Linked DNA regions of Tribolium castaneum. The protein of the gene in region 1 purifies or fractionates together with the protein of each later gene. This does not show direct contact. Links are inferred from orthologs where the notes say so. Each region holds a gene or a part of one and is shown in the gene's direction. Other genes may lie near its edges.

Region 1 (16,636 bases):
TGTTGCTTTGTAAAAGATTTTTAAAATTATACTTTCTTAAAAAGGAATACACTGAAAGTCTGGAAAACACGATTGTATAAATCTCACTTTAAAGTTTACATAAGGACTAAATACTAATAACGTATTTCGTCAATTTGTCAGTAAATAATACAAAAATAAATATGGTAATTGTTCCTAAAAGAGAAGTAAAGATTACGGAATGATCGAAATGCAAGTACCAGCAAGTCAACGGAGTGCATAATATACATTATTTGCGGATATAATAACTATACTTTTGTACTTCTAAAAAACCTCCAGAATATCGGACAATTTTGTAAAAAAATCATCAATCACAGAAAGAGCGATTTGAGGCAATGCAATTTCATCAAAAAGTTTCAATGAAATTATGAAAATAGGTTCTCTGAGTGAACTAAGACTAACTAAGAATTATGGTGTATTTCTGAATTTTTCTTTCAGATGTAACTAGTAATACCTACCTACCAAGATTTCATTATGAACTACGTTATTACTGTTATAAGTATTATTTAAACGATGAAAAATCAGTTTTGAGTCAATTAATTATTTCAAAATCAAACGTAGTATGCAGTATTAAGACGTGGACAAGTATAATAAAAGTTGCTACTAAGTACAAAAATTTAAAAATATACAATAATAAATTCACCGCATCTTCTAGTATTACCTACATTTAAAAATCTAAATAATCGATGTAAAAAAAATATAAAAACCAGTATAGCAATATACAACGATTTGATATGATCAGTTTCTTGATAATAAATGTTGTACTCACCATAAATTTGGTTTGATTGATCTGGGATTGATGGTTTAGCAAACAAAGAGCGAAAGAGTTTTATTGAAATATGATTATATATGGAACATTGATTATTTTGGTAATGGTAAGCGTGCAGTTGGATTAAGTACGCGAATTAATGCAAACATAAATAATTTTCAATTAATTTTAATAGTTGGTCGAAAAAGCAGCAGCTGTTTAATTGCATTTGCAAATTATGAATCAGTATCGGTTTGTGTCAAAGCTCTCAAAGTCCATCAAGCTATCAAACGCAGCTAGTTAGCGGTTTATCCAGGTTAATTAATCTGAGTTTTTGGTTAGTTAAAGGACACATAAAAGCCGGGTATGCAAACGTCAAACCGCATGATAATAGGTAATGAGCGGGTTATTAGCAGCGTCAGATGCTTCTGACAGGTCTAACTTCGTCTCCTGCTGGGTACAACCAACCTTCCACCAACAATATAGCCGTAATTACGAACCAATATTGTAATATGGCTTATTACCGTCGTTGACGCACCTTAGAAACGTCTTCTTAGTTTCGTGTCACTTCCAGAATCCAATGTTACATTTTTTATCATGCATCTATCACGATAATTTCAAATCCTTTTTCACTTGTACATATTCCGTGAAATTCTGCAGTTAAAAATTGAATCACGCTGATTGTTGAGAGCGACCGGAATCCATTACTATGCTATTAGGTTGCAAACGTTCAAAGAAGCGCTAATGTCTCGTAATGGCACACATTGTCCCTCAATCCTTCAATCATTCTCTTCAAGCAATAAGCTCTTTATGCTCTCCAGCACTTTGAACCACGCAACTCCAAGCACGAACCAAATCGAAAATTGTTAACAACCACACGTACACCTATACGAAAAAAGATCTACGCGACTCAAATTAACAAGAACTTAATAATTATTAAAATATAATAAATCGGCTCGCTTGTAACAATTTGTATTAAATAGAAAACATTCGAATATAGTAGTTAATACAACGTAAATAAAAGGCAAATAGATACATTTTTTCTTGATTTTTTAACAAACAAAAGTAAACTTATCAAGAAAAAATAAATTTATAAACAAATATCAAAATTTTTGGATAAAAAGTTAATTTTTAACTAACTCTTTTACTAATAAGGAATTAATTCTGTATTAATTTAGTCACAAGTGATGCATGCCCTCAGGTTTCCTATAATAACGTGTCCAAAGAACATTCAAAATCCATAAATAAAAGTCTTTTTGGCAAAACTTTAAGACAAACGTAATTTTTTTTAATGTTTAGACACAAAACAGTAAATAAATAAAATTTGTGGCAATTCAGATGAGATGCTTGCACATTTTTTACTAAAATTGTGAGTTAGGGAAGCACTAAAGAAATGGATCATTCGGATCCAAAAATATCATTCTTCAATGAATTAGCAAATCCATAATGATTGGTTTTCTCCGTAATTTTAATGGCCGACCTCAAACGGACCAATCATATCCAAAAATAAAATTCTTCAATGAATCAAAAAAACTAAAGTGATTGGTTTTCTTCGTAATTTTAATGGCCGACCTCAAACGGCCCAATCAAAATGCTTACAAACTTTACAACAATCACTACGTGCCGTACGTTAATTCATTAATTGATGTGTCTGTCTTTGTTGCATCTCTTTCATAATGTTTCTTTGCGTTCTAACCCCCTAGGCAATGTTGGACGATCTGCTGGATGAAAAACGCCAAAATTGGGATAAGAAGGGAAAGTAAATAAGGAATAATGAATTGAAACTCTTTTATATTAGTCAAAAAGGTTCAAAGAATTCTTCAAATGACCAATGTTGAAAATAAAAGCGCATGCGCGCGTTTATTTTCGATTTGACATTTCTCGTAGATCCAACAAAAACGGACGAAAAGTCGGTGAAATCTGCCCCAGAATATTTAAAAGTGCGAGAGGGGGTCATGGTGTAGGTAAATGTAGTTTTAAAACCTCTTGCTTTTTCTTTTGCAACTGTTTTTAACATTGCCCTATCCAGTTTAGGAGCCCCTTGAAGACCGGACTTCTGGATGCCGTCAGGTCTGACGGGTGATTTTTCCGCCTCTGGCTAAATGGAGGAAAAACCCCAGGAAAAACCAAATGCTGTAATGATGGAACTTACAGTTCCAAACTTTACCTACCTAAATCTTTTAGAGCCTAGATCAAAGTGAAAATATGAATCATTGGTAAAAGTTTTTTACCATGAAACCTGTGCGTGCGGCGTACGTATAATTAAAGAAACAGAAAAAGACTTCTGCACTTCTGTATTTAACTAGTATTTGTACTAGTACTAGTATTTGCAGAAGTGGTTTAATTTCAGTTCAGATAACTGTATAGCTTCTTAAATCTAATCAGTTTGAAAGAATTTGGTAATTTGTTAATCTCGCAACCTTAGTTTTTAGTATTATTTTTTATTAGATTCGAATTCATTTGAACGGGTTAATTAGCGACTTTGAATTTACATGTTTTACTAAATTAATGTAATAATTGTCAACGTTTAAAAGGTTTGAAAAATACCTAACTACCGTTTTTCATTGAAGAACAAATCGGTGGTCGAGGACAGATAACAAAATGGTTTCGGATAACTGCAGAAACTGGGAATAAATAAAACCAAAACATCTTCATTTTCCAAATTTATTTCTTGTATATTACAGAGTCGTTACATAAATTTACACATAATAAAAATAAATACACGTGTAGTAATTTATCAAAATTGTGTAAACGGAAATAACTTGTTTACAAGCCTAATATCCATAAATGCATTTAAATGTATAATTCGAAGCAAAAATATCGGCATTCCTCATAAGATGTTTATTGCTTCCACTTGCTCTCTTTTTAAATTTGATTGTGCAAAAGGAGTTGGAAAAGCGTGGACCGAGTGAGATCAGTGGAAAACTTCAAAATGGACTTGTCTTTGCGCGTTTTGGAAGGTTCAAACGAACATCTCACGTACTTGTGTATGGAGGCAAACCCCTTATCGACGGCATAAGTGGAAATATCCTCCTTCCTTTGATTGTTCTTGTAAATATAGCGAACTATTACGTTATAATTGTAGTCATCTGAAACGTCCGTATTTACCATTGAAATCGGTTTTGCCGTATCGGTGTTCTCAATACAGAATTTTTGCACGGGCAGACTGATCCGGCCCGACTCGCTGTCGGTATTTTTCAAAAAAGTATTAAAACTGTAGCTGTGCAAAGGTACAATGTACTCGTTTAACTCCAAAGTGACGGCGTACGAAGTCTGCCCGAACGTCCGCAAGAGACAATCATTTTCGACGACTGACCGCGTGACCAGACTGTCCCCTTTCGGGAAATTCCACGGCAAGAACGCGGCTTGCAAACCGAGCCTTGTCGAGAGATTCGTGATAATTTTAACCAACCGATGCGGAACATCCCTGTTATAAAAAATAAACGAGTCGATTCCGATCAATTTATGATAGCTTATGAACTCCACAAGCCGCCGCTTGCTGTAAATCGACGGCGAGACGCAAATCGTCGTGTTAATATTCACCTGATGATTGAACGAATTCGTCAACATGATTTTCTTCAACTCGCTATCTTTGCGCGTCTTGAAACTGAACGAGACCGCATATGGCACATGTTCACTGTTGCTCATCTCACAAATGTAGAAATACAAATTCAGTCGGACGTTCTCGTCACTCATCACTTTGGAAAACTTGAATTTCCCAATAACTGGCTTCTTCTTGTCCTCAAACCAGAAGTAGCAGTTCCGAGGCACCAGTTTCTCATCGCTGAGCAAAGTCAATGCCTTGGCTTCGTTCTGCCGGGTGAGAAATGCGGAGTAAATGTAGCCACTTTCGTGCTCCTGCCAGACGGGCGGCGGGCCCCAGTCGTGGTGGCTCAGTATGTTTTCGGTCTGCTGCAGGTCGGAGATGTTGCACGGTTGCCCGAAAAAGTTAAACACTTCTAATACATAATGCAGGCGGTTGTACTCGTGCCGGTAAATCAGGAACAAACTCAGACTAACAATGGAAATAATTAATAACATCAACTGGTGGTACTTTTTCATTCTTTAGCTCAGTTCGTTTGACATTGTGCGATTTTGAGGTTAACATAAACATATGAGTTTGACGTTTCGTGGATGAACGCAGGACGTAATCGCGAAGCCCGATAGTAAATAATTGTTTTTCCGGGCTTATCTGTTAATTTGGTTACGGAAGTGAATAAAAATCTTGTTACTGGGAAGAGTTTGGTTATCGCTCAGTTTTTTATAATTATATTTACGAAATTAACGAAGTGATTTATTTCCTTTGTGTAGTTTGTTTTTGCCACCTTCTGGCCCCCCAGTGAGGCCAATGTGGACGACATTTTATTTTTGATAAGAAATTATTTGTGGAAATTTGTGCGTATTTTGAATAAATGACTCCAAGTAAAACGGTTCTTTCCCCACAAGACTGAAAATGAGTTACATTAGTGATTTGTCCCAATCTCAAGAATATCTAAGTTTTCGAAGTAGTGTTCCATTGAAACGAGTAGTAGTCGATACAGATAACACAAAGGTTTTTTTAATAAAATAATCTGTTGTTACTTTGCCCTCTTTGGCCTCTTCAGGGATGGAGAATATATGACTGTGGCCCCAAGAAGGTAAAGTGCCCGCTAATTTGTCTTCCTCCGGTGTCCGGGACCGCCGATATTTTTTTTAAACAAGCTCTTGCCTTATCAGCTAAGGGGATTAGGGTGATTTCGGCTGAAGCGCCGGTCTACTGGAACGTGAAGGAATGGTGTGAAGGCTTTAGGAAACTTCTTGATTATTTGGAAGTTGTTAAGGTCCACATTTTTGGGGCTTCCTTGGGTAGGACTTGAGAAGTGACTGCGGTTTGCTGACGAGTGTTACAGGCGGCTACTTAGCTCAAAAATTTGCTGAATACACAGTAAAATGTCCAAGAGTTGCGTCTCTGATCTTGTGCAATACATTCACTGACACTGCCATTTTCAATAACCACGAGTCTGCGGCTATTTTCTGGATGTTGCCAGGCCTTGTGTTGAAACGTATGATAATGAGCAATTTCGGGTCAGCAAAGGTTGATCCAGAAATGGTCGAGGCCATTGACTTTATGGTTGAGAGGGTAAATCTAACGAGAGTCTAAATAAAACATGGTCAAGAGAGCTAATACTGACTTTAATCAATGTTATTTAACGTAAATAACAGGGTGTCTAAGACATCGTAAAATTTTTAGAGCTCTCTTGATCACGTTTTTTTAAACTCGCGATATAATTCTAATGGTCAATTTCAGTTGGAAAGCCTTCCTCAAACTGAACTTGCCAGTAGACTTACACTTAATTGCCTTAAAGGATATGTAGAAGCTCACAAATTGGCCGATCTTCCCATTACTGTCATAGACGTATTTGATGAATATGCCTTATCAAATGCCGTACGAGAAGAGCTCTATAAATGTTACCCTAATGCTAAGTTGGCTCATCTTAAGACTGGAGGGAATTTCCCATACTTAAGTCGCTGCTCCGAAGTTAATTTGCATTTACAGGTGATAAAAAAATAAATGAGAAAAGTATTAAAGGTGAAATTGTAGATACATTTGCGACAGTTTGACGATTCCGACTTATCGTCATCAGACCGACCCTTAATTAATCGATGCTGAGTGTTTGCCATTTATATTTTTGTACATATGGATTTTATATTATAACATTTTGTTTAAAAAATACCAAAAATGTAACAAGGACACCAAATTCTACTTAAGAATAAAACACTATTTTGTACAAGCTTTAGGTGTTTTTTCGCCAGTCGGGTATTCCCCTAAAACACGGTTATCACAGGAAACTGCAAAAGCACGCACTTACAATTTCGGTACATGTTTGATGTTTGGAACGTAAGCGGAAGTATTTTCTTCCAGAAAATTATTTTTTGAAGTGCGTACTAGCCACTGTTTGGTAGGTTTTAAGAGCCTTTCGGGATCTCTTGGCACAGAATAACTCGATTTGCTTCTGACCGGTATTTGCGTTTTTTTGGTGCATTTGCTGGATCGCATTCTTCCGATGTAAATATCGTCTTGCGATTGGAACTGTTTGATTCTTTTATTGGCTTCAAAAGCCCTATAATTTTTTTGTTAATTAGTTAAATGATGGAGGTACTGCAAACCTTATTTTTCTTTCTTGCTCATCTAGTACTTCTTGCAGAATTTTTTCGTTAAATTCCTTAACAAGTTTCTCTTCTTTCCATTTGGTCACTGTCTCTTTCGTTTGATAATGAAGGCGCTTTTTGTCCATTTCGAGACGCTTAATTTTTTCTTTTCGTATTTCTTCCATAAATTTTTCTTGTTGACGTTTTAATTCCTTCTCGGCCTTGAAAAGAAAACAGTAATTGTATATTAAACACTTAGGAAAATGTCACTTTCCACTGAGCGATTTTCTTTTGAACGTCTTCGTCATCACATTTTCGAAATATTTTATTTTTGGTTTTATTTTCACACATTTGTTCATCGTTATTATGTTGTGGTACATTTTCGGTTTTCAGCTTGCGCCACTTATCAAGCGCTTCGTCTTTTTTTCTCTTTAAAAATAAATATTTAGTGAACCAGGCTTCATGCTCTCTAACAGCGGTAGGAGTGATGTCTTTAAACAGGCATTATTTAATGTTTTTAACCGATTAGGAAAAGTACCAGGTAACAGTCGGTGCAAATTTAGGGCCAAATCATCAACGGTCTTGTATTTATTTCGAAGCTTTAGGAAAAGTTGGTGATCCTCACTTGCCCACCCATTTTCATGCCCATTGCTTTTGTTAACGAAATCCATAAATTCCTTTACTTCCTATTAACATTTTATTTATTTTCAAACGAAACGTAATAGTAAAAAACTTACTTTATAGTCACTATCAAATTTTAATGACTTGTTGTAGGTTTTGCAGTTGTGGAGTTTGGAAATATTTACACTTTTTTCCCACTCTGGTATTTTACTGTTGAACGTTTCTGTAATTTCTGATAAACCCACTTCTTGCTCTTTTAATGTTTCATAATTGGCTGCGACTTTAATTTTCAATTTATAAATCTTATCCTGGAGACCGATCATTCTCTTTTTAAAAGAACGAATATCTGTAATTAGTTAATTACGGAATAGATTAAACTTGAAAAAATTGTTAGATCGGACCTAGTAATTCCAAATTTCCTTCCTTCAATAGTTTTTTCTCGGCACTCAACAAGCACCAAATTTCTTTTACCTGACTTGCGAGTTGTTCATTTTCATTTTTTCTGCAAAATTAATCACAAAAAGTGTCATTTTAATTATCAGTACTCAACCTTTCGAGTTCGAGAGACGAAAAAAACTCTCCCAAATCCACCCCACAGTCATATTTCGCGAAATTGTTCAACACTTTATTACTTTTTTCCAAATATTCTTGGCAGTTTTTCAACTTATTCAGTTCTGCCAAAAATCCCGAACCCATCTTATTTGTTTGTATCGTAAAACTTGGATACTCAAAATAACAAACACCCTGTATCGGAATTTTGAATTTATACTGGTACAGTAGGAATCGTTTTTACCGATAGCGCGGAACGTCAAATTTTTTCCAAGACCCGGCTTTTGAAGGTTATGGTACATTTGTAATCCTTGAAAATTAAAAAAAATTAAGCAATGTTTTCGAGACAACTGATAAATACATGTAGAACAATATTAAGGGTGAGTGGGGCGGCATTTTTTTGTATCAATTGCAAATTCTTGATTTGTAGCAGCCATCAACTGTTGATTTGATTCAAAACCACACAATTCGTTCTGTAACAGTACGGCACAGGTCTTACACTCCAATTAACACAATTATCATGTTCGTGCCCCAACAGGAAGTATGTTAATACAGAAACTGGGTTAAAATTTCATTTTTCATAAATTCAGGCTTGGGTGGTGGAGAGGATGGGAAAATTTCACAGGATACTCGAGCCCGGCTTAAACGTGTTAATCCCAGTTGTAGATAGGGTAAAGTATGTTCAAAGTTTGAAGGAAATAGCGGTCGATATTCCCAAACAAAGTGCCATCACCTCAGACAACGTTACTCTAAACATTGATGGTGTCTTATATTTACGAATAGTGGACGCTTACTTAGCAAGTTACGGTGTTGAAGACCCCGAATTTGCCATAACCCAGCTAGCCCAAACCACAATGCGCTCAGAACTGGGCAAAATATCCCTAGATAAAGTTTTCCGCGAGAGGGAAAATCTTAACGTATCCATAGTTGACTCAATAAACAAGGCGAGTGAAGCCTGGGGCATGACCTGTCTACGTTACGAAATTCGTGAGTGTTTGTTTTACTAAGCTAGTTTTCGCCCTTCACAAATTTTCTCAAAGGTGACATTAAATTGCCTCCAAGGGTGCAAGAAGCGATGCAGATGCAAGTGGAAGCAGAACGGAAAAAACGCGCCGCTATTCTGGAATCTGAGGGTATTCGCGAGGCCGATATCAACGTGGCTGAAGGCAAACGAAAATCTAGAATTCTAGCTTCTGAGGCCGAGAGACAGGAACAAATCAACAAAGCTGCCGGTGAGGCAGCTGCCATTTTGGCCGTGGCTGAGGCACGCGCTGGGGGACTTAAACTAGTGGCTGAGGCTCTTAAGAAAGATTTGGGGCCGAATGCAGCCTCCTTGAGCATAGCAGAGCAGTATGTGACAGCGTTTGATAAGTTGGCAAAGACGAATAATACGCTTATTTTGCCCTCAAATGTTGGGGATGTTTCGAGTCTGGTGGCGCAGGTAGGTGTGGACTCAAACCAGGGGGCACATCGTTGAATGCTTTGGGCTCCCAATTGTTCTAAATTCATTTAAATTTAAATTTTTGTTACTTGCTTGAAAAAATTCAGGAATGTTATTAGAGTAACAGATTCAAGAGATAGAAAACGTAAGAAAAATATGAAAAACTACATCTTTTTCAACTCTATTTTACAAAAAGTAAATCATATTTTAGAAAATATTAATTGTATTTAAAATTTCAGAAATTGGTAATTTTTATTGTAATTCAAGTTAGCGAAATGTACTTGAAATGTAAAATTTTGAATACCTTGTGTTAAAAAAAATTTTTCGTTACACTAAATTAAATCTGATCGTTTCTGTAACAATACAGTTAAAAAAACATGGAATATACTGTACATTAGTCTTCTTGAAATACAACTTCCAACTTCTAAATTAAAATGTTCCTAGATCCAATATTTTAAGCTGAAGTTCTATTAACTTTTTCTAATCTAAATTAAGTAATGTTTTCTATACTGAATCACAGTTGACAATAGGATGTAAAATGTTAGTTCTGTAGAATCCTAAATATTTACCTGTTTTCCCGAAAATAAACAACCGAAAAAGACAAAATTCTTCAAAAAGCACAAATTTTTATGCACCCCAAAAGTACACAAATATCTATAAACCACCAAAAATTTGATACACGAAAAAACTGTTAAAAATCACCTAATATCATGCAAAATTACCTTAAAAACAACAAAAACTATTACACAGTGTTTTGTTTTTAAACGCAGCAATATAATAATAATAATAATAATAATTATTATTATTATTATTATTATTATTAAGATGTTGGTTTTCCTTATTACTTCTGTTTTAGGCAATGTCAATTTACTCAACGATCTCAAAATCGCAAGGCAATGAAAATGTGAAAAAAATCGATGACTGTATGAATTCTTCGCAAAATGATCTGGCAGAACTGTTCAGCGATGAAGAGGAAAGAAAAAAGCACAAAGATAACAAAAATCAGCCGTCGCTTCCTTTATTTAAATAGGTGTATTTTTTGTTTATTTACATATTCATTACTGTAGAGGACAAGACAAATTAAATTATTTTATAACTGATACGGTGTTTTAATTATCCACATCATTCTACAAAAGATAACAGACAAGAATGAATTTTTATCAGAAAATTCAGGTCTATTCCCAAAAAGTTCAAAAGTAATTTCAGAGTCCTATTGTCTCAGAATTATCAGTGAATTTAAAGAAGTAATAATTGTAACTAACTAAGATAAGAGTAATTAATTAACTGTCTGTGAAAAACAAATCAGTTTTATTTTAGATAAAATGCTCAATTTTTTATTCAAAAAATTCAAATGCGCTGTTGCAAAATTCTGCTATGAACTGAAATTAGATATCAACACATATTTAGCAACTGCTATTTCTGGAAAATGTAATAAAGTTTACTTAAGATAAGATTAGAATTTCTTTGTTGATTTTACTAGTTTATTCAACATCACAATCTAGTTTGGCAAAATATCAATTTATTGCCGATATGCCTCAAGACTAATAAATTTAAAATTATCGTCTTCTGAAGTTAAACACAAATAAGACAATAATTAGAAAGTTGCGAAAAGCCCGCCATTCCAGTGCGAGAAGAAGTCGGATGTCGATTTCCGGTTCAGAAAGGCGCTCGTGTTCATGCGACTCCCTAGCAATTCTAGAAAGTGGCATTTTTTTGTTTCTATAAGCGTCACAGTAGGGTTTTAGCAACAATTAGCCTTTCGATAAGAATAAAAATCAAAAAAGTGCAACCAGCCCCAATCCAGAGCCGTTCGAAACAGTGGACTTTTGAAATTCCCGCGCTCGCTGTCCGTATTGATTCCGGTTCGACCATTACGTTTTATTTCTAGTCCGCAGTCGCACAGTTTTTGACGAGCCAGTCTTGAAAATTCTTGTGAGCTCGTGTGAGGTGATTTTTTTAAAACCGTAAAAATGTAAGTTTTTTCGAGTAAAGTAACGCTAGATAGGAATGCGACAACGGGCGCTGTCAGATATTCACTCGTGGGCTATTTTTGGACGGCCGGAGTCTGACATTTGTTGCATTTTCGCCATTTGGCTGTCTTGTAATGGTGGACCATGCCTTCTGCGATATGCGAAACGGGCGCGTTGTGCAACATTATTTTCCAAAAAGGCGCAATTTAGCGAAGTTTTGCCGTTTTGGGCACGAACACGCTGCCCATTTCGCGTGAAAGTCGCACAAGGGCGAATTTGCGACTTTGCCATTTTCCGTGTAGAAATTCGTGAGTCGTTGACCCGATTCCATGTTTATTTGTGCCGTTAATTCAAGCAAAAATCCTTTCTTTGCGCTTTTTCCCACCGCTGGCACTTCTTGTGACATTCCATATCTTATCGACTTCTTTTTGCACGAACTCAAAGTCGAGCGGAAATTCAATCGCACTCCTCTTTTACAGAAATTTTTGTATGAGTCAAAAAGTAGAAAAACCAGTTCTATCCGGTCAACGCATCAAGACCAGAAAAAGAGGTAAAGCTCCAAAAAGCGCAATGCGCCCCCTTCACGAATTTCCCTTCTTTCAGATGAAAAGGAAAGGTACGATCCAGTAGGGTTTAGGGATGCAATAATCTCTGGACTCGATCAATGCAACAACAATTTTGAAGCAATTTCGCGTTTTTTGGACGGTGCAGGCAATAAACAAGATTATCGTCGATATGGAGAAAGTCTCTTTGACATACTCATCGCGGGGGGCATCCTTGGTAAAGACTCACACTTTTTTGCAAATTTTTACTCATTTCAAGCAGTACCGGGAGGTACGCTCTTGCAGGAAGGGGAGGCGCCGTTCAAGACCTCCGCTTGCATCTTCAACTCGCCTGACGAAATAAACCTGGAGACTATGAAAAGCTGGGAACAGGTTTTCATTAAACTAATGCGTCGCTATAAATATTTGGAGAAGATTTTCCAAGTACGTATTGCTTTCTTTAACACTTTAATTAGCCAAAAAAATGGAGAAAGGAAGTCAACTTCCAGTTCTATTCATTATTTAGAGATTTTGGTTAAATGGTGTGTGACAAAGCATTCACCTTTCAAAGGCCAAAAAATTGTAATGTCTTGCACTTTCTCAAATAAACAATACCATTGCCAGCATTTCAAAATGCGATTACAATATGAAGATAATCATTGGGAAATTAGTTTCTTTTTTATTGTATTGTAACACAGCGATGAATAAATAAATCACGTGCAAATAAATTAGAGAATAAGGACAAGTTTATGGGAGCATTCTAACTGTAAATATGTCACAAGGCCAAGAAACTGATAAACATTTTTCTGTCTTTTGAGGGAGCATGAAGTGGTTCTATTTCAGCTGTTTAAATTTTAATTAAAAAGTGCGAGGTCAAGCGTTTTTAGATCCTGAATCAGCCGAAGAAATCAAATGTCAATGACAACCAGAAGGAAGTTTTTGTGTAGTATAATGTTAGGTTTTACCACAGGAAGCGGGAAGTGACGTTTTAATTGGCTTCGTGCTGCTAAATTGATAATTTTAAGAATTCATCGATTTTGCTGATCATTTGAAGTAACTGTTATTCTCCTGATCGTTCCGTTATAACTATACAGTTTGTCGTGCAATTTATTAGTCATTTTTGCCACAAATACTTACTGTTTTAGTACAAGCATGGATTAATTTTTAATCTCTTTTTACATATTTTTATTGCTATAGTTAATAAATTTTGGAAAAACAACAAGTCATTTTTAATTTCAGCAAAGCTAAAATATTATTTTCTTGAGTATTCATTTTTGCAATGTTATGAAATTAGTTCATTATTTTGATTTTGTTGCCATGAATAAATGAAAAGCTTGTTTAACGTGGTGTTTATTCGACAAAATGACTCATGTTTATAAAGTGATTAATACAACTTGTAAAAACAAGTTTCTAAATATTATTTAGTAAGAGGTACAATGTAATAAAGTACGTGGTCAAATTATAAGTTTCGAATTTTTATTTATAACTGATGCGGACGTAATTTTGCGTTAAAAATGCTTTTATCAATAGTTTTATCATTAAATGTTTCATTGAAATCGTATTATGATAGATTAGGATGAAGTTATGATGTAATACATGAAATACCTTTGATAAGTAATTATCGTAAATGTTTGTAGAGATACTGCTATTAATTAAAAACTAAACAGCTTGTTTTTCATTTTTTGCATTAATCTTGTAGACTAAAATAAAACAATGTGTTATTTAGACATAGAACCATGTAATTATCTGTTGTTATTTAAGACGGGTGATTATATGTTATAAGGAAAGACTACGTAACTACGACCACAGATCTTATAACTTTCAGTAGGTGAGCTAAAAGTATTCGGAATTTCTGAAATGACGTTTCAGAAAAATACTGGTTTCTTATGTTCTTAACGTTGATTGCAATTCAAAAAAATATGAAGGCAATAAAAATAAATACGAAAACTATGATTTCCTTTTCCTATTTATAATACGTTTTGGCTAATATTATCCGAACAAATCGATCGTTGTTGTTTTGTTTTTTATAATTGTCTTATAAAATTTTATTTTAAACTTACTATTTTTCATGCACCGAAAATATTTTCCATGAGCTCAATGTATTTTGAGAAATATGTCGGGATTGATAATAACAAAGATGATGAAGAGATTATTAAATTACTAACTGAAAACAGGTGAAAACGTGTGTTTTTAAACGTAATTACAGTGAATTTGATAGTTCATATATTTTATTATAGAGTAGAGCCCAAAAAAATCAAAATAAATCAACTTTATCCGAACTTTTACTACCTTTTGAGATATAGAACCTCCACTTCAGCGTCTAAAAATTTGTCAACTAGATTACGTGTTTTGACGTAATAGACGGTGATTTGAGTAATTAAAATTGGGTGGTATCTTTGCCAAAAAAATCGATGCAAATTTTTTCTTTTTGCTAATTTTAACCCTAATGTAATAGATTTTTTCTTTTCTCTTTTTGCTTTATTCAGTGCGCAATTGCGTTGTTGCAGGATGAAATAAAGAAAGTGTTGATGTTTGTGAAATACTTCACTCCAGCCGAACGTAAAAAACTGTCTGTGATGGTATATCTGTGGATCTCGAATGGCAGCATTCCGTTCAGTGCTGTCCTGGTGTTGAGTAATTCGCACTTGGTCAAGGACCATTTGGCATTGGATTTCCTGATCGATGTGTTCAAGTATTGGCGCCAGGACAAGGGTGTAAATTCCCTATATTCAGCCATAAAGAAATCCAACATCGAATCGCATCTGATGAGTTTCGTTCCCGATACGAAACAATCTCAGGTGTACTTCCGTAACGCCTTCCAGGAGAACGGACTGGAAGAAATACTCAAGTTGTACAACGACCAGCATCAACAGCTAGCCAAGAAGGAGCTGCAAGTTATGCTGGCCGATAGCCTTTCCGAAAATAAGCCCCAACGCGACATTATCGCCGAGTTGCGCGAATTTGCGGCGAAAGAGAATATACAGGAGCACGAAACGGTCTGCATCATCTGGACCACTCTTATGGACATTCCCGAGTGGTCCAAGAAAGAAGTAAGACTTTACCAACGAAAATGTTTACACGCTTTGACTTTTTTAATTGTAGGAACTAGTTACCGACCAAGCTGTCCGTCACTTGAAACTCTACACTAGTTTGTTCTCTGCGTTCACTCAGTCGGCTCGCTCCGAGCTAAATCTCCTCTTAAAAGTGCAGGAGTACTGCTATTCAAACATGACTTTTATGAGGGCTTTCCAGAAGATCATTATGCTCTTTTACAAGACGGATGTTATCTCCGAACAGGTTATTCTTAAATGGTATAAGCAGGACTACAGCGTTAAGGGCAAGATGATGTTTGTTGATCAGATGAAGCAATTTGTTGAGTGGCTTCAAAACGCTGAGGAAGAAAGTGATTCTGAAGGCAGCACTGAGTAGGTAGGTTACCCTTGACACCACCAAAACCAGACAAATATCACTATTTGTGTTAAAAAATTCTAACACAAGTTGTCTTGTCTGGGAAATTGACAACATTAGTACTGGCATTTAGTGGCTTCCAAAACTAAATGTTATCGAAAAATGTAACACAATATTTTCGGGAAAGTAGCGTTTCTTATTGTATTTTTTGTTACAGATAACACAACCTTCATTGCATCAGTGCCACCAATTATCAACTAAAAATACCATTTTTTCCAATGTAATTATATCATTGTATAAACATTTCTGGTGCCTTACTATGTTGGTGTGCGGCAGGCAATAGTGACCGGGGATTTGTATTACTGTACTGACCTCTTCAAATTATTCATATTAAAGTATTACTGCATCGGAAAAAATGTTATTTGTATCAATATCGCCAATATTGTCGACTCAATGTTATATATAAATGATTTATTGTCAATTTTTTTAATATACAAACAAATTTTACACGCCTCATTTCTCAAAACCCCATTCGGACGAATGCACGGTCGTTACCGTTTCGAACCGAGTTACATTCGCACGAAAAGTTGTTACAAGAACGTCAAAACCTTAACCTCAAAGTTTGAAATGTGTGGAATATTTTGTTTATTATCATTCGACAAAAGCAATACTGAAACATTACATTACAAGGTCTGTTTCTGATTTTTTTTGCATTTAAATCGAAAACATTTGGTTTTAGTTTGAATTGTTCAAAGAACAAATTTCGCGAAGGGGCCCCAACTCGTTGAAAACCGACTTTTGCCAGCTGAATAATTGCAATATCCTGTTCGCCTCGAGCGTTTTGTGGCTTCAAGGTACCGATATTACGACACAACCGTGCAAAAATGATAATTCTGTCTTTATTTACAATGGGGATATTTTCGGGGGTTCCCAAATCGGTCAACAATTAAATAGTGGTTCAGGCGATACGAACCTATTTTTCGACGCTTTGCAAAATTCGGACGATATTTTAATGACGCTAGACAACATTGAGGGGCCTTACGCGTTCGTGTACTTAAACGTGGTACAAAATAAAGTTTACATTGGGCGTGATATTTTCGGCAGACGTAGTTTACTAATCGGTAGAAATGCAAACGAATTTGTAATAACAAGTGTTGCAAAAAGGGGGACAGAGTTTGAGTTTATGGAACTGCCAAGCATCGGCATATTT
Region 2 (15,641 bases), on another chromosome or scaffold:
TTTGTAATCACTCAAATTTAACGCGTCTACAAAATGTGCAGCAATGTTGGAAGACTACAAAAATGTGATTGCCACAACTGCCTCAATTTCTACAATATTGCAGTTTCTAAGTGGAACGTAAGGGCTAGGTTAGGTATCTGTCAATAACTTAACAAATTTCCAAAATTTCAGCTTGATTTGTTTAAAGATCTCCCGAAATAAAAGCACCGGGGACATTTCACCATTTCCCTTTGTTAGCGGTTGTTTATCTACAAGTTTGTGGCTTCGGTATGGGTTTTTCATCGAAGATCATTCCATAATTTTGGTGAATACGATTGGAGTCAGTCTATTTTTTGCCTATATAGTGACATTCTTTATGTATAGTATCAAAAAGGTAAATATCGTGATTAATAACTACTCAGTGGGAAAAAATGCCATTTTAGTCATCAGTATTACGCCAGGTCGCTGCTTGTGCGAGCATTTTGATTGCAACTTTAGTGTACATACAGCACAAAGAAAATTTTGAAGAAGCTAAGGATTCTTTGGGAATTGTTTGCTGTTTTGTAACAATATTGTTCTTTGCTGCGCCCCTCGCATCACTGTTACATGTTGTTAAGGTGAAAGACACCGACAGTTTGCCGTTTCCTATCATTATGGCCAGTTTTATTGTCTCAATGCAGTGGCTAGTTTATGGAATTATATTAGAAGATAAATTTATACAGGTCTGGACGGTATTAGTGAGGAAAATCTGAAAATATTGTTTTTTTTTTGCAGATACCTAACTTTTTGGGCTGCGTCCTGTCTGGGTTTCAATTGAGTCTATTTTGCATTTATCCAAAAATCAGGGTCATTACGGTGTAAATAGTTGAATAAAATTTTCAATATCTTTTTAGAGCTGTGGTTGGGAATATCATTACCCCAAGAGACCAGGTTATACGAGGTGAGTCAGCTAAAAGTATTTTTTTTGTGTCTCATAAAATAACCACAGAAAAATAAGCTTTTGGTACTAAATTCTGTATATTTTTTTCTATCCATACGAATTTTTTAAATATTTCGTTTCTTTTGTTTCTTAAGAAAATTTTAGTTGTCAGTTTTTCTCAGTCTGTTAGTGAATTGATTGGCTTGAAATTAATTTAAAACAATCGCTCGAAGCGCCCTCATTTTTACTGAGCTGTACTATTTTTTTGGGTTCAGAAAATCCTCGTTTTATCTCCTAACTTATAGTCTTCCGTAGTCGCTGCATAAGAATTATTGGGGCAAAAATCCTTTAACAAATATTTTAAAAAAATAATTAAGTAAATAAACACAGTTCAAATAAAGGTAATTTTGAGGATAGCAACAGTTTTTTAAGTTTTTTATTAACACAAAACATGTTTTATTTATTTTGGAATAAGACTAGAAATAATTAAATTAAATTTAAAAAAGAAGCATTTCTGTGGGACTATGATTTTTTGAGTTACAGTAAAAGATACTTTTCAATTTTTCCTTGTATGGGTGTAATAAAATAAATACTTCTAATAAAATAGGCTGTGCAACAAAAATCAAACCGAAATATAATTATGAGCGCCCCCCCATACAATATTGATACAAGTGCAAGATGTGTATAAAAATATAAATGATATCGACATAAAGACTCAGAGCACCAACGATGTACTCTTCGGGTGACAGCTCCAATCTTCGACCTCCTACAATCATTTGAGTGTCATACATCAACCACTAAAAACAGATAGTTTAGTTTAATTCGGCGTCAAATTTGATTCTTACAAAAGTAAAAATTACAGTTGCAATAGCTGAATAAACTACGTGTAAAATTGGCATATGTATTCCCACAAGGCTCAAAATCATGATAACCACTCCATAGAGGCACAACATGCCAGTTGCTACACACAGACACATTCCACAACTTGTAACATCCCACTGAAATAATTTAGTCATTTGGTTCAAATAAAAAAATTAAAGTCATCACCTTAGTTTGTATAGCAAATAGTGACACCATTAAACATAGAGCTGCAGTAGTACCTACTGCAAATAGTACAATTAGGGGTGGTACTCTTGCAGTTAGACACATTACAAGCAGAGTCATGGCTACTGTCTGGAAATACAGATTAGAAAAAAATTATACTGTGCTTTGGCGTTACTAGAATTGCCAATAAAATAAAATTTAAAGGATATTGATGTCGGACTCGAGTGCACACCACGCAACAATAAACAGTCATGAAGACAATCCTGAAACGAAAAAGTTAAACTGTTTTTAAATTTACTTGTGTTGTTTTCTAAAGTTCTTCAAACAAAATTTAAACAGTTATTTGTCACTTTAATAACTGCTTTGAAAAATCTCTTATGTAACTTAAATCACGAGTTCATAAAAAATCCTTGTTCATTTCTCATCAAAGTAACCCAAGACTTTGAAATTAAGTTGGCAACATTAACTAAACGCAACACATCAAGTTGCAAAAAAATTAACTATAAATTCCCATTTTTCTGTTTTAAGTCTTGCGTCTTAGTTGCACTTTTTCGTCATTTTGAAACTAGAGTGATACCACTGACTCTTTGAGGGAATTTTGATCACTGTTGCCAACCTAATTTCAAAGAGTTCTCCGTACATGCCCGCAATCATAATAGGCAGTCCGTTGCGTATCAGAAACAGCTTCGTATTCTTCCTAAAATCAAATCAAATTAGACTTAACTTTTTACACTCAAACGTACTCATAGGTGGCTAGAAATGCAAAGGCAAAAGTGAACGCCAACTGCGCCGACAAAATTGTGTACACCCTCTGTACAAACCGATTTCGGATCTTTACGGTATCGAAGGCGTCAGTAAAAATCTCCCCACTTCCGCCGAAAAAATTGAAACCTAAATCGGACTGGCGCTGTCTTACGGGCGGTGCTTGGGCCACATTCATCGGAGGGGGATAGCCACCCTTAAATTTGAATTATTTTTTTCGCAATTTTGTACCACTCACCTACGTAATAGGGGTCTTGGTACATTCTTTGCTGGTAGGCGGGGGTTTGGCGTTGGGCATAGCTTGGGTCGGGGTAGTAGTAAGCTTGGGGTTGATACGGTTGGTAAGGGGGTTGATTGGAGTAGGGGGGCGGTTGTTGGTAAGGTATCACCAGCACTTCCGGCCCGCTCTGGGACTCTGATTGTTGGAGGGCTGTCGGGGGCTCACCTTTAGCTTTTTCGGGGTTGTTGTCACCCATTTTGGACACATTGTGGTTTCAAGATTCCCTAAAATGACATTTTTCTGACATTTTTTTCAAAAAATTTGCCATCGTACTAGTGATGGCATCTAAGCATTCAGGCGAGTTTTTGTGCCAAAAGTCATCAAACACAAGGCGATTTTTTTCATTTTTGCTTGAATCGCAGTCATTGGCAAATTTGGAATTTAAGTTGGCAACCTTGGTTGTGAAATTCAAACTCAACACTTTTTTTAAGACATTTATTTCCATACAATTCAAATACACTTTGACTTAAAATACATTCAGTTTACGACGTTTCTGCAACTGGTTCCTCTGGTGGTTTTCTATCCCTAATCAATATTGTTACCGCTTTCACTACGTACGGAGTTGTTACGCTCATGTACATTACGATTGCTCCGAAAACAAAGTCGGAGGTATTTAATATTTGTTCTTTTAAAATTTTTTTCATAAGAAATATCATAAACTAGAAGATAAATGATTATTTGCTTCGTAATGTTATTGAACTTGGACTTACCGTAACACACAAAATGGTTAAAATCGTTGATGCGACTATAAAATCCCAGCGAAATAGATCTTTACATAGGAAATACAGGCAAAATGCCACAACTCCACACACCACAAGAGTAAGAATCAAAATAAAGCCACACATATTCAGACTCATAATCTCCCACTGCCAAGATGAGTTATTACGATTTTTCAAAAATAAAAATACTTAACTCTCTTCTGTGAAGCAATCAACGAAATCATAAAACAAACCACAGTAAGACATCCGAAGTGATTCGCCAAAACCATGGTAAATTTAAATTTACTAGCAAGCGCCCCAAATTGAAGAATCACAGAAACTGTCTAAAACTCAAAAAATATTACCCCAAAAAACCTTGCCCAACATTTTACAATGACAAAAAGGCAAATTAAATTCATCGGCTTTTGCCGAATCCAAGTCGAGCAGCAGACCATAAACGACGTAATCACGATCACAAACGCCCTAAAACTCCAATTAGTTTCACAAAAAATGGGCAAACACCACCTACGTGAAAATAACCAGCAACAGGATCCAATTCTCGACCATACTGTTCATAACCCCCTCTCTGTAAAACCGAATTTAGTGCTGAATTCAGCCGAAAAGACCCACTTGCTTGTAAACCATTACGAAGTAAAACACAAACGAGAAAAGCATCTGCAGGGCTACAATCACAAAAACGTGCTGAACGAACCAGTTACGGTTTCGCAAGTTCCGGAAGGATAAAGCAAAGAGTCGCGTCACTACGCTTTGGTCCCCGGCGAACGAATCCTCTGCGTAGTAGCTACTGACGGTGCCCCCGAGGGCCCTCCAGGGGGTGCCCTGCAACAAAAGGGTGGGCTAAGGCCGCTTCTGCGCTTTCTTACCGTTTGGGAGCGGGCTTCCCCCATTTGGGCTATGCTGGCCACTTGGGGCTGGTTCAGGTTGCCGACGTAGCGGGGCATGATGAGAGAAATGGACCTTTGGGCACTAAATGTCAAACGTCACTCAGTATTTTTATATTTCAGTTTTTTATCGAAAATTTTCTTAAAAGTGAACAAAATCACTCTAGAGTCATTTTTTGACGAAATTGTGCTTAAAAACAAGCTACCGAGGAAGCTCTTAAGTGCCCGTAGTAATATTTTAATTAATTAATTAATAATTCAATTAATAATTAAATTAATAATAGTATTTAATAAGTTTAATAATTTTCGATTTTTTCGGTGAAATTGTGTTCATACAGAGTGACCCAGGGGTGCGTAATAGGTTTATAACTTTTTTGTTACTTGAAATATCGTTACGCCGTTTTCGTTATTCGATAGATCGACTTAAAGTCCACAAAACAAAAATATTTGTATTATACACAGTGTGTTGTATACCGGGTGGTGAACCAAAGTTATATTTTTTTAAATGGAACACCTATATTTTTTTGCATAGTTATATTCTACGCAAAAAAATAAAATTTAATAAAAATAAAATTTATATAAACTATTACGAGTCTATCTCTTTTCGTTTCCGAATTATTCAATTTTTGGTTATAAAAAAGACCAATTTTTAAAAAATCACTACGAAGTCACCTATGAATATTTTTCGACAAATTTGCAACAACAAAACCTAGAGTCATTTTAGCAGTAGTCAACTTTTACTCGATTCACGAAGGTAATGTACAGGGTGTGCCAAAACGCAAAAAGTTGAATAGCTTATTTTTTTTCACATGCAAATTAAAAATATTTCTTAAAGTGTTTTTTTTTTCGTTTTTTTATTTATTTTATTATTAATTCTTGATGAGTAAAATTCATTTATGTATCAAGTAATAATTAAATTACTAATGTAATTAGTCACATTAGTACATATCAAAAAATAAATTATCATTTGAATTTATCAGATTCTAGGACAACAAATTTTCTTATAATATAATATATATTTTTTTTTAATTTTCGAAAAGTGTTTCAAATTTGCTATGCAAAGTCTATACCATTTGAAATCTTATGCAAAATGCTATCGACACGTGTAAAAAATACACGGTGTTGTTTGAAAAAAACGATTTATTCAACTTATTTTTGCGGTTTGGCACACACTGTACAGTAAGAGTCCACTATTTGCTAAAACTGCATGGTATTCTGAGTTTTTCTGTGGCAAATTTGTCGGAAAATATTTATTGGCGACTTCGTAGTGATTTAATTTTTTTTTTATAACGAAAAGTTTTAAAATAATTACAAGTTATAGACCGAATTTTGCATGTTTTTCTGTTTAAAATCATTTAATTTCCATCTAATTTGTCCATTTTCTGAATCAATTTCTCAAAGGAAGCACGTTTTTTGAAATAAAACGACGAATATCATAGTTTTCGACAATATTTAATAAACTTGATTATGGACATGGGGAAAAGGGGTAGGTAGGCGATCTGTGTTAAAGCTCCGTAAACGTATTCTTGGCAGCAAAGGCGCTCTTTTTCACAGACTGCAATTTGCCGAGTGACATAGAGAAGCCACTAAAAGACATCATCATTTCTGATCACTTTGCAACCTTCGGTTACCAGAATTAATATCTGCATTATCGCCGAAGTTATAAACATGAACCAAAGATCACATTCTTTAAAATGAGTAAAATTCAAGGCTATTGTAACAAATCCGGTTATAACCGACATATAGAGGAACGTGAAAATGTGCATACAAACATTAGTGACTTCCCACTGAAATTAAATAAAAAGTATATCATAATTTAGTTGCTGCTACTTGTACTTTCTTCTGGCAAGACATTAGTGAAAGCGTGATAAGGACCACAACTGCGAGAGCTGTGCCGTAAATAGAGGACCATAGGATCCCAGTACATGAAACCGCGAATGAAACTAGAGTCGTTCCTACAGAAAATGTCTGAAAAAGATGAAAAAACTTATTTTACAGTCGAAATGATACTTACGAATAGGAGGAAAAGGATACAATTAACTGGGAAATAACGTCTCAGTTTGGCACTACAAACCAGTATCACCTCAAGACCCAAATAATTCATTCTAAAACGGTAATAAAATGCCGGATTTCGATCCGACAATACTCACAAAAAAATTATAATTAAAATAGTCCTGTTTTTGTAAACAAATGACCGAACTGGTGGTCTGAAAAAAGTGATTGCAATTTTTATGATACTTAATACCTATAGGTACGTACAGAAATCGCATCAGCAGGAGAAGCGCTAAAATGATCAAAAAATGACAAATCAAAATTGCAAAAGTTCCCCGAACAAACTTATTTTTATTTCTGATACATTCAAACGCTGGAATTTCGTCTCTGTTGATTGAAATGAGCCCATCATCCCGATTCACAGTCTGGACGGAGGCGGTTGGAGTGGCTGCTGTATCGACCGAAAAAGACTAAAAGACACAATTACACACTTTATGTACCCGCATTTCAACAATTAGCTACCGCAAATGTGTGCAAAGCCGATTCTCGCGGAAAATAAACATGATGTTTTAGGGGTTTCGGCTGGGGAGCAGGTGCCGCCTGGAAGAAAAACCTTGATTCGGAATCCGCATCCCAAACCTTACGTCTGCTTTTTGGCGAAATGTATATTTCAGTAACTGAGTCTTCGTTTGATGGGGGGACACTCATCTTGACGTTTGAATTTTCGCGCTACTGTCACCAAACTATCAATTCCTACGTTATGAATTTTGTGCGTTATGGATTTGTCATTAATTTGAAATTAAGTCAAAGTCATAAATTAAGTGGCTTTTTATCAAACACAGTAGCAAACGATGAGAACGACGTTTATTTAATTTAAATATCTCAGTTCTTATCGCCTCAAATCACAGATAATAACACTAGTGGCGTGACATAACCTCACCACGGTCCTTGACGTGTCATCATTTTAAAGAAGACACAAAAAATGGGCTCACAACCGCTCGAATTCATTCGACAAGTCCTTTTATTGGTTTTTACGCCCCACTGTTACGATAATTATTTCATTCATTTGAATTTTTTCGATGGTGAGTACAAAAAGTGAGGTTATAATGCACTTGACTTGTGCTTTCAGGGCCGTGTTTTTCTTCAACTTTGAGCAAATGCCTAGGTCTAGGCATAATTATGGGCTCACTTTTGGTAAAACTGCCCCAAATCATCAAAATTTACAAGAATAAAAGCGGGGAGGGCATCAGTTTGCTCAGTGTTACTTTGGACTTGACTGCAATAACGATTTACGCATCTTATAGTTTCCTCAAACAGTTCCCGTTCAGTGCGTGGGGCGATGCCGCCTTTCTTGCGATACAGACAGTCCTTGTTGGGGTTTTGGTGCTCCATTATGGGGGTTCTAGCTCAAAAGCACTTCTATATTTAGTTGCTTATTTGTTAGTCAATTTCATTCTAATGAGTGGCTTGACCCCTATCAGTGTCTTATGGACATTGCAAGGTTTTAACATTTTCATTGTTGTTAGCGGGAAGTTGACACAAGCTTATAGTAATTACAAAAATGGAACTACAGGTCAATTGTCAGCGGCTACTTTGATTATGTTATTTATGGGGTCTCTAGCCAGGATTTTCACCTCGATTCAGGAGACGGGGGACAAGATGGTCATTCTGACCTATATTGCTAGCACTCTTGCCAATGGGGTGCTGGTAGCGCAGTTGCTCTATTACTGGAACGTAACACCACAAAAAGAAAAGGCTCACTAGGGATTTAGGGATTAAAAAAATGTGCATAAGTTTCAATTTTTAGTGTAAAATATCACCAGTTGATGAGACTGTTAAATTCGTGTACAAATGTTGCAGTTTATCATTCCCTGTTAACGTGTAAGTCTTTGATTATTAAACGACTGTTTGGGAAAAATAAAAATGGTAATTAAACAGAAGTGGGTAGTTTTATTTAGCAGAACCCGTAGCTCTCAGAATTCTCAACTGTAATTCTCTTTATTCTTTACTAAGCGTCATTCAGATAAACTTATAAAACAGATAAAAAGGTAAAATAGACTTTTTATCGTAATTTGTTTACAAAATTTAATTTTTTGTTTGTGGTTGGAAATTTAAACTGTTGATTCTGACGTAAAAATTTAGATATCAAGTCGAGTTTCCATTTCAGTGTGAAAATAAGTGGTTATTTGTTGAATTAAATAATCCTCTAGAGCTTGGGCTAGCAATATTGGCTTGCAATATTGGTTGCATAACTACATTTTTTTTAATTTGCAAAAAATACTCAATTTAAAAATAAAGTGGTTGCGTGGCGGAGTGAATTTTTACACGGGCCAAATAATGAGTTAAATCTTGATGAAATAATGCCAACTTTTTTGAGAAAAAGTGTTATAGAGATTAAAAAAAAATTACGTTTTTTATGAAAATTAATTACTTTATTGAAAAAAATACCACCCTAGTGGATTAAATAATGTCGTTCTTCACATGTTACAGAGTCGAGAGTTTAAAAAAAAATAAAATACAGTTTTTATTACGTTTTAAAAATTCAACTAACTTTTTCAAACAATAAATCAATTCTTATAGCAATTAAAGAAACATAAATATGTGGTGTTGTACTTATGATTTGCTACAATTTAATTAATTATAAAAACTATTTTTGATATTATTTTTAAAAAATGGAATAAACATTTCAAAATGTGGTTATTTTCATTAGCAATGTTGGTATCAGAGGGCATCTGAAGAAACCATTGTTTTCTTACAATGACGGCAAAAGATTAAATATTTGAAGTTTCTGATGCTTTTTTCAATCTTTATTAATGTTAAGAATCGATATTTACGTGGTTTTAGTAATGTAATTCAAAGTTTACGAATAAAAAAATTCAAAATGTAGTTATTTTCTTCCACAAAGTTGGTGTAAAGTCACCAATTACGCTGTCAAATGTCAAATCCAATTCTTCCATTTTGTTCAAAGAGCAACTCGTGAGTTTGCCGGCTGATTTATTACATTTTGCAGTTAATTACAGGTAATTTATCATATTTAATGTATTAGCCAACGTTGTGTTTTCATATTGATTACGTTTTTTATACCAAACGTGGCTTTTTATGCGTAATGAGCCAAACTGATCCGACATAACCTTACATCCTGCACACATTACATTCAGTCCTTTTTTTCAAGTAAACAATGTCTGCGGCGCAATTATTCAACAGGATTGGACAGTTTGGCCTTGGAGTAGCTCTGGTAGGCGGCGTGGTCAATTCGGCGTTATACAATGGTAAAAATTAGCAAAAAATTGTGTTTGTGTTGGTGCTCAATTAATTAATTGATAGTCGATGGTGGTCACCGTGCCGTGATCTTCGACCGTTTCTCCGGCATCAAGAAGCAAGTGATTGGCGAAGGCACCCACTTCTTCATCCCCTGGGTGCAACGCCCCATCATCTTCGACGTGCGGTCGCGCCCCCGCAACGTCCCGGTCATCACCGGCAGCAAGGACTTGCAGAACGTCAACATCACCCTCCGTATCCTGTTCCGCCCCGTCCCCGACCAACTCCCGCGCATTTACACCGTCCTGGGGCAGGACTACGAAGAGCGCGTCCTCCCTTCCATCACCACCGAGGTGCTCAAGGCCGTGGTGGCGCAGTTCGACGCCGGGGAGCTCATCACACAGCGTGACCTCGTCTCGCAGAAGGTCAGCGAGGACCTCACGGAGAGGGCGTCGCAGTTTGGGGTCATCCTGGACGATATTTCCATCACGCATTTGACGTTTGGACGGGAGTTTACTCTTGCGGTGGAGCTGAAGCAGGTGGCGCAGCAGGAGGCGGAGAAGGCCAGGTTTTTGGTGGAGAAGGCGGAGCAGAATAAGAAGGCGGCGGTGATTTCGGCAGAAGGGGATGCTCAGGCGGCTACGTTGCTGGCGAAGGCGTTTGGGGATGCCGGAGAGGGGTTGGTGGAGTTGAGGAGGATTGAGGCTGCGGAGGATATCGCGTATCAATTGTCGAGGTCGAGGCAAGTGTCGTATTTGCCAGGGGGGCAAAATCTGTTGCTCAATGTGCCTACGCCCTCGAATTAAGGGCTTAAAGGGGGAGAGAGTCGGGTGTTTTGTTTGACTCGGGACTAGGAGTGAACTAGGATATGTACCAATTTTATTTTACTTATTTAAGGCCATACTGTTACTGTTAATAAATTTTATAAAATATTTTCGTGTTTTTTTTACCTGTTTTCTCAGAGGCGGATTAAGTATCCGCCCCGAATCTGGATATACTTTGGGCCTCTTTGTCGAAAACTATCAGTATTTATGGCTAATAAAAAATAATTGGCGATTATTTTTTATGTGGGGGTCTCTCGTTCACTCAATTTTTCGATCGCAATTAGGTCTACCTCTGTGGAGGTGTAATTTTAAAGATTTTCTTATCGGCTTAAAAAACAACAATCTACTTGTTGGTTGTTTTAAAATTTGAAAAATCCTCTTAAATTGTGTTTTCTAGAAATTCTCACTTTGAGTCAAACTTTCTCTACTTTCATTACAGATTGTAGGTAACCAATCACAATTCTAAAACGATCAAAATGCCGAAAAAAAGTTCTTTTTTACATGATACCAATTTTTACTTACAAATTTTCGATCAGCTTTAATATAATAATAAAAAAAAATTCCGACTTGTCGCACGCCGACAATGTGGACACTATTATTGGAAAAAACACAAGCACCGTTTTTGAAACAACACCATTTACCTAAGCCATGACCCCCTTTCGCATCACTTTTGAATATTCTGGGGCAGTTTCCACCAACTTTTCGTCTTTCTTGTTAGATTTTCCAGAAATGTCATTTGGAAAACTGAAGAGCGCGCGCATGCGCAACATGGATCATTTCGAGAATTCGTCAATTGAAACTTTTTAACTGATATTACAACTCATAGCAAATATAAAAGAGCTTCAATATAATATTCCTTATTTATTTCCTCCCATTATCCCAATTTTTGCATTTTCATCTAGTAGATCGTCCAAGATTACCTCTGAGGGTGAATTCATGAAAGACTGAAGATGTGACAGGCAACAAAGACAGACTCATGTTTTATGAATTAACGTAAGCCACGTAAAGATTGTTGTAAAATTTGTAAGCATTTTGATTGGACGGTTTGGGGTCGGCCATTAAAATTACGGAGAAAACCAATCACTTTAGATTTTTGGATTCATTGAAAAATTATATTTTCGGATATGATTGGTACATTTATGGTCGGCCATTATAATAACGTTAGCAACCAATCACTTTGAATTTTTGGACTCATTCAATAATTTTATTGAATGGCTATTGTAAACATTAAAATCAGGCAATAAATAAACCTTGTTTTTTAAACGACCTTACTTGGTGCCCTAGTAAAAATTTTATTGAAAAAAACTGGCAGTAGCTCATCTGAATATCCACAGATTTTGTTTATTTATTGTTTTGTACCTAAACATTTCGGTAAAAAATTTACGTGTATGTTGAAGGTTTCCTAAAAGACTTTATGGATTTTGAATCCACTAGTGTTATCCACATTTCTTCTTTAAACGCCTTATTAGGAACCTCAGGTTCCTCAGCACATACGTAGGTATATCACTGCCTTAATTGTGTCTAAATACAGAATTAAATCCTTTCTAAAAGAGAAATGACTGCACGTATAAGAACAGTGGTGTAATAAGTACACAAAAAATTAGCTTCACGCAAAAAAATAATGAAAGGAGGAGATTATATGGAAAAAATAAAGCATACTGTTCCTGTAATTTATTGTATTGTAATTTATAAAGTTAAACCTACTTCTACATTCTTTTCTTTTCTTTGTTAAAAGCATATTGCAACTACCAGACCTACCCTTTATGTGATTGATTTCTGTCTTCTGCCACATTCAGGAATATTTTGCATTTTCGTCCCTTTCTTGCTAAAAATTGCGACTATGTTAAACAATCCTGTAGATGTTACCTACTCGTACATTTTGCGTCTAAATTTCAACGGTGGTGTTTTAATGATCTCTACTTTGACTACTATTTTCAAATTTACAAAACTGTTATCGGTAGGTTTTTATCCCTGTATCTGTGGTTTCATCTATAGAAAATTTCTTTTGCTGTAATGTTTAATGACATTTTTTTCAAATAAATAAAAAACAGAGACTGCTTTCTTCTTTTATTAAAACTAGTACGAGTGAATGCTAGTGGTGACAACTTTAAAATTATTTGACACTGTTCATTTAAAAAAAATAGTTTTGCACGTGGCTGATTAATTTTTTCAGCCGTTCGAAGTAGTTAAAACATACTTGTTTTTTAGCGACTCTATTAAGTAATTAATTCTAATTATAGGGAATTGTAGAAAAATTTTGAAAAAATTCACATGCATAGAAAAAATTTAATAATTATAATTAGGTACGGTTATTTAACAGTAAACGTTAAAATCACACTGAGACTTGAAAATAGCTAAAGGTTAACAATTATCTCACCCTCTTCAATTTTTTAAAAAATTGAGAGGTGAAACCTTATTTTGCGATGTTTTAATAATAAGGATATTACAGTTTAACTAATTCGAGAATAATATATAAAAACAAAACCAACCGAAGGTCCTTGAATTCGTTCCACACACAGTTTCAATTAAAAACAAATATGGTTTACGCTCACGACTCAAGAAAAAAGTACCGGAAGTGAGCGTTCAGTTTACATGAAAATACCTTTCCCTTCTAAACCCCATCCACCAGGATCTGTCAATAGTCCAATCGAGCCCGATAACAAACAGCCTTACATAACTCTCGAAACTAATGAGAATTTAAGACAAAAGTAGTTTTGTGATGGGTATCGCAGTGATGCGACACTATTTTTAATTACAACATCCCCAGGACGTCGATATCCAGCCGAGTGGCGGTAAAGCAGCCGCCTTCATCAAAGTCAAGTCCATCGACACCTTCCTTCTAACGTTATTTATTACATGCTGGCATGCATGCCTTAAAACTAAAGTCAAATGCGTCGATTAATCAGAAATGATTTATCTCTCCTACAGCCTGTTTTGCAATCATTAGTGAGGGAGGAAGAAATAAACCAAGCCAATTTTTTTTCCCAAATTTTATTTGTCCCAAATGCTGAACCTCCAGGAAAGCCTTGAACCAGTTGACATTGAATCTGAAAAAAAAAACAGTGTTACATAACATTGCAATTAATCACACAAACAGTTTTAATTAAGTCGTAAAACGTTCGGTTTTGCACATTATTTATCCCAAAACTTCACTGGAGACAACAATTTAAAAGTAATAAGTCATCGCTGAAAGTGATTTATTTTAAGAACAGGATACAGTTGGGCCGGACCATCTGATTAAAATAAAAAACGCATCAATCGATTTTAATTAACTACTGTTTAATTGGGGTTTTAATTGATTAATTAAGCAGTTGATGAAAGTAATAATTAATAATAGGTCGACAAGAATAAAAAATCACTAATTTGTTATTTATTTATTTAGTAACCAAAATCACAATTTAAGCCTTCTTTAGCTCAATATCAAGTTTGAAACACTCAATAATTTCATCGTTGCTGTCCTTATCCCGAAGCGAAAATTCCAAATTTAGGCTGACTTCTGGAAAAACGGGCAAAATGTACATTCCGTAGGTGTATTCAACTTGTTCACCCTCTTCTATGGGACACTTTGTGTTGGTAATTCCAACACAAGCATCATCCTGATCCAGCGGATACGTCACATTTATGCCCATAAGAGAAGCAACAGCGTTTGGAGCAAAATGTTCCAACTTACGGGCTATGAAAATTATTTAAAAAATTATGAAATGAAATAAGAATATACTACATACGAGATTTGAATTTCATAATCATGCTGGTGTTAGAATTGATGTAGAAAACACACGGTTCCGCGTCACAATTTTCGACTTGGACATCGTCTGGTAAAGGGCCAGTGGGGCCTATTTTTGTGTAAATAAATTGCAAAAAAAAGAAAAAATTCACTTACATTGACTCACAACCGTGCTGTAGGCACCCCCAAAAAGGAAAATAACGAAGAGAAGAGCAGAGACTGACATTTTGACTCAGATTGTTGGTTTAATCAGTTTCCAACTAGCTTTATATATAGCCGGAAAAATGTTTAAACAGGTGTTCTTATCTACGATAATTTATTATTAGTGAAAACAATCGAATTACTTGTTATGTATGTACTTAGTTTTTTTTTCAAGTGAACTGCTGGTAGGATTTTCAGTTACACCAAAATTTTCTTTTTAATTTTGTCGTCTTGTTCTTTGAGAAAAGTCAATAATAAAATTAATAAGCAAATGTTTGTTTACCTTATCGTTCAAGATCTTGCAGGTGATCATTATCAATTATTTTCCATGAATAAGTTTACGAAATTGTTTTTAACCTCTAGTGGATGAGTAATTGAACATCTGTTTTCTAAACTGGACTACAAAGTCAAATTTTATCACGAATAAGAAGCAAAAAATAAATCTTTTTGTCACCACCTAAATGAAATAAGCCTTGCAATGTTGTGAGACGTTCCGATTTGCATAATAAACGAATCAAAGCAGGGCCAATTTTTCACCTTGTCCCTTTGGTTATTAAAATTAATAATTGCGAAAATATCGAATACGCAAAAATAAGTTATGTGGAATGTCTGTAATTTAAATGCTGGTGACTTATATAAAACGCGCAATTAAATGAAAAAATGCGACTTGTTTTAAAAATGAGCATTAAAACACTCTGCTTTGGAGGATGATACATGAATCCGGCCGAATATTTAATCACTTCTTGGGCCTTGCGCGGAGTTCTCAAATAAAATCAGAATTATTGTTTAATTGTATTTTACAGTTTAAGTGATCTTTAAAAGTTGTTTTTTCCAAAAAGTCCGTAAAAGATATAAAAAAAAAACAAAACATAATTAGTTAAGTAGAAATTCAAAATTCTAATAAACGAAATTTTGGTGGAAACAACAGTTTTATTACAAATTTTTTGCTCAAAGTATCGTTGTTTTAGAATAAATTAAGAAAACATAAATTATCGATCAATTAACATTTTCTTGTTTTTAATTATTGGTAATTTTTAATTAACTAATTTTAATTAAGT

What was found.
Region 2: the proteins of Stoml2 (region 1) and Phb1 purify together in Homo sapiens (affinity purification with western blotting; 3 studies listed by BioGRID, with this or other methods). This does not show direct contact. The link is inferred for Tribolium castaneum from reciprocal best matches to the Homo sapiens genes STOML2 and PHB1.

Annotation. Positions count from the first base shown.
Region 1 is NC_087396.1:12,751,448-12,768,083, forward strand, and holds Stoml2 (stomatin-like protein 2, mitochondrial), read left to right. Parts: upstream 1-8,303; 5' UTR 8,304-8,400; coding exon 8,401-8,445; intron 8,446-8,495; coding exon 8,496-8,606; intron 8,607-8,655; coding exon 8,656-9,052; intron 9,053-9,105; coding exon 9,106-9,506; intron 9,507-10,362; coding exon 10,363-10,536; 3' UTR 10,537-10,606; downstream 10,607-16,636. Other genes in the region: uncharacterized protein LOC103312132, read right to left, coding at 3,632-4,828; maspardin, read left to right, coding at 5,220-5,318, 5,371-5,611, 5,656-5,885, 6,054-6,302, 6,348-6,416; coiled-coil domain-containing protein 112, read right to left, coding at 6,541-6,571, 6,616-6,867, 6,914-7,116, 7,166-7,386, 7,434-7,581, 7,633-7,862, 7,918-8,018, 8,067-8,212; kra (protein krasavietz), read left to right, coding at 11,966-12,026, 12,080-12,256, 12,302-12,462, 14,526-15,068, 15,121-15,447; asparagine synthetase domain-containing protein CG17486, read left to right, coding at 15,880-16,116, 16,166-16,636. UniProt on the Homo sapiens protein: Mitochondrial protein that probably regulates the biogenesis and the activity of mitochondria.
Region 2 is NC_087398.1:10,066,902-10,082,542, forward strand, and holds Phb1 (prohibitin 1), read left to right. Parts: upstream 1-9,462; 5' UTR 9,463-9,596; intron 9,597-9,748; 5' UTR 9,749-9,754; coding exon 9,755-9,845; intron 9,846-9,900; coding exon 9,901-10,640; 3' UTR 10,641-10,766; downstream 10,767-15,641. Other genes in the region: slv (sugar transporter SWEET1), read left to right, coding at 44-117, 172-373, 423-701, 754-825, 873-919, 7,150-7,453; protein lifeguard 3, read right to left, coding at 1,537-1,695, 1,744-1,896, 1,946-2,071, 2,118-2,205, 2,583-2,639, 2,686-2,900, 2,947-3,180; uncharacterized protein LOC103312960, read right to left, coding at 3,467-3,643, 3,695-3,850, 3,898-4,026, 4,075-4,165, 4,212-4,268, 4,317-4,522, 4,567-4,644; uncharacterized protein LOC103312918, read right to left, coding at 6,018-6,170, 6,216-6,371, 6,421-6,552, 6,599-6,689, 6,735-6,791, 6,844-6,868, 6,922-6,988; mannose-P-dolichol utilization defect 1 protein homolog, read left to right, coding at 7,559-7,658, 7,706-8,340; uncharacterized protein LOC663453, read right to left, coding at 14,057-14,331, 14,384-14,491, 14,539-14,608.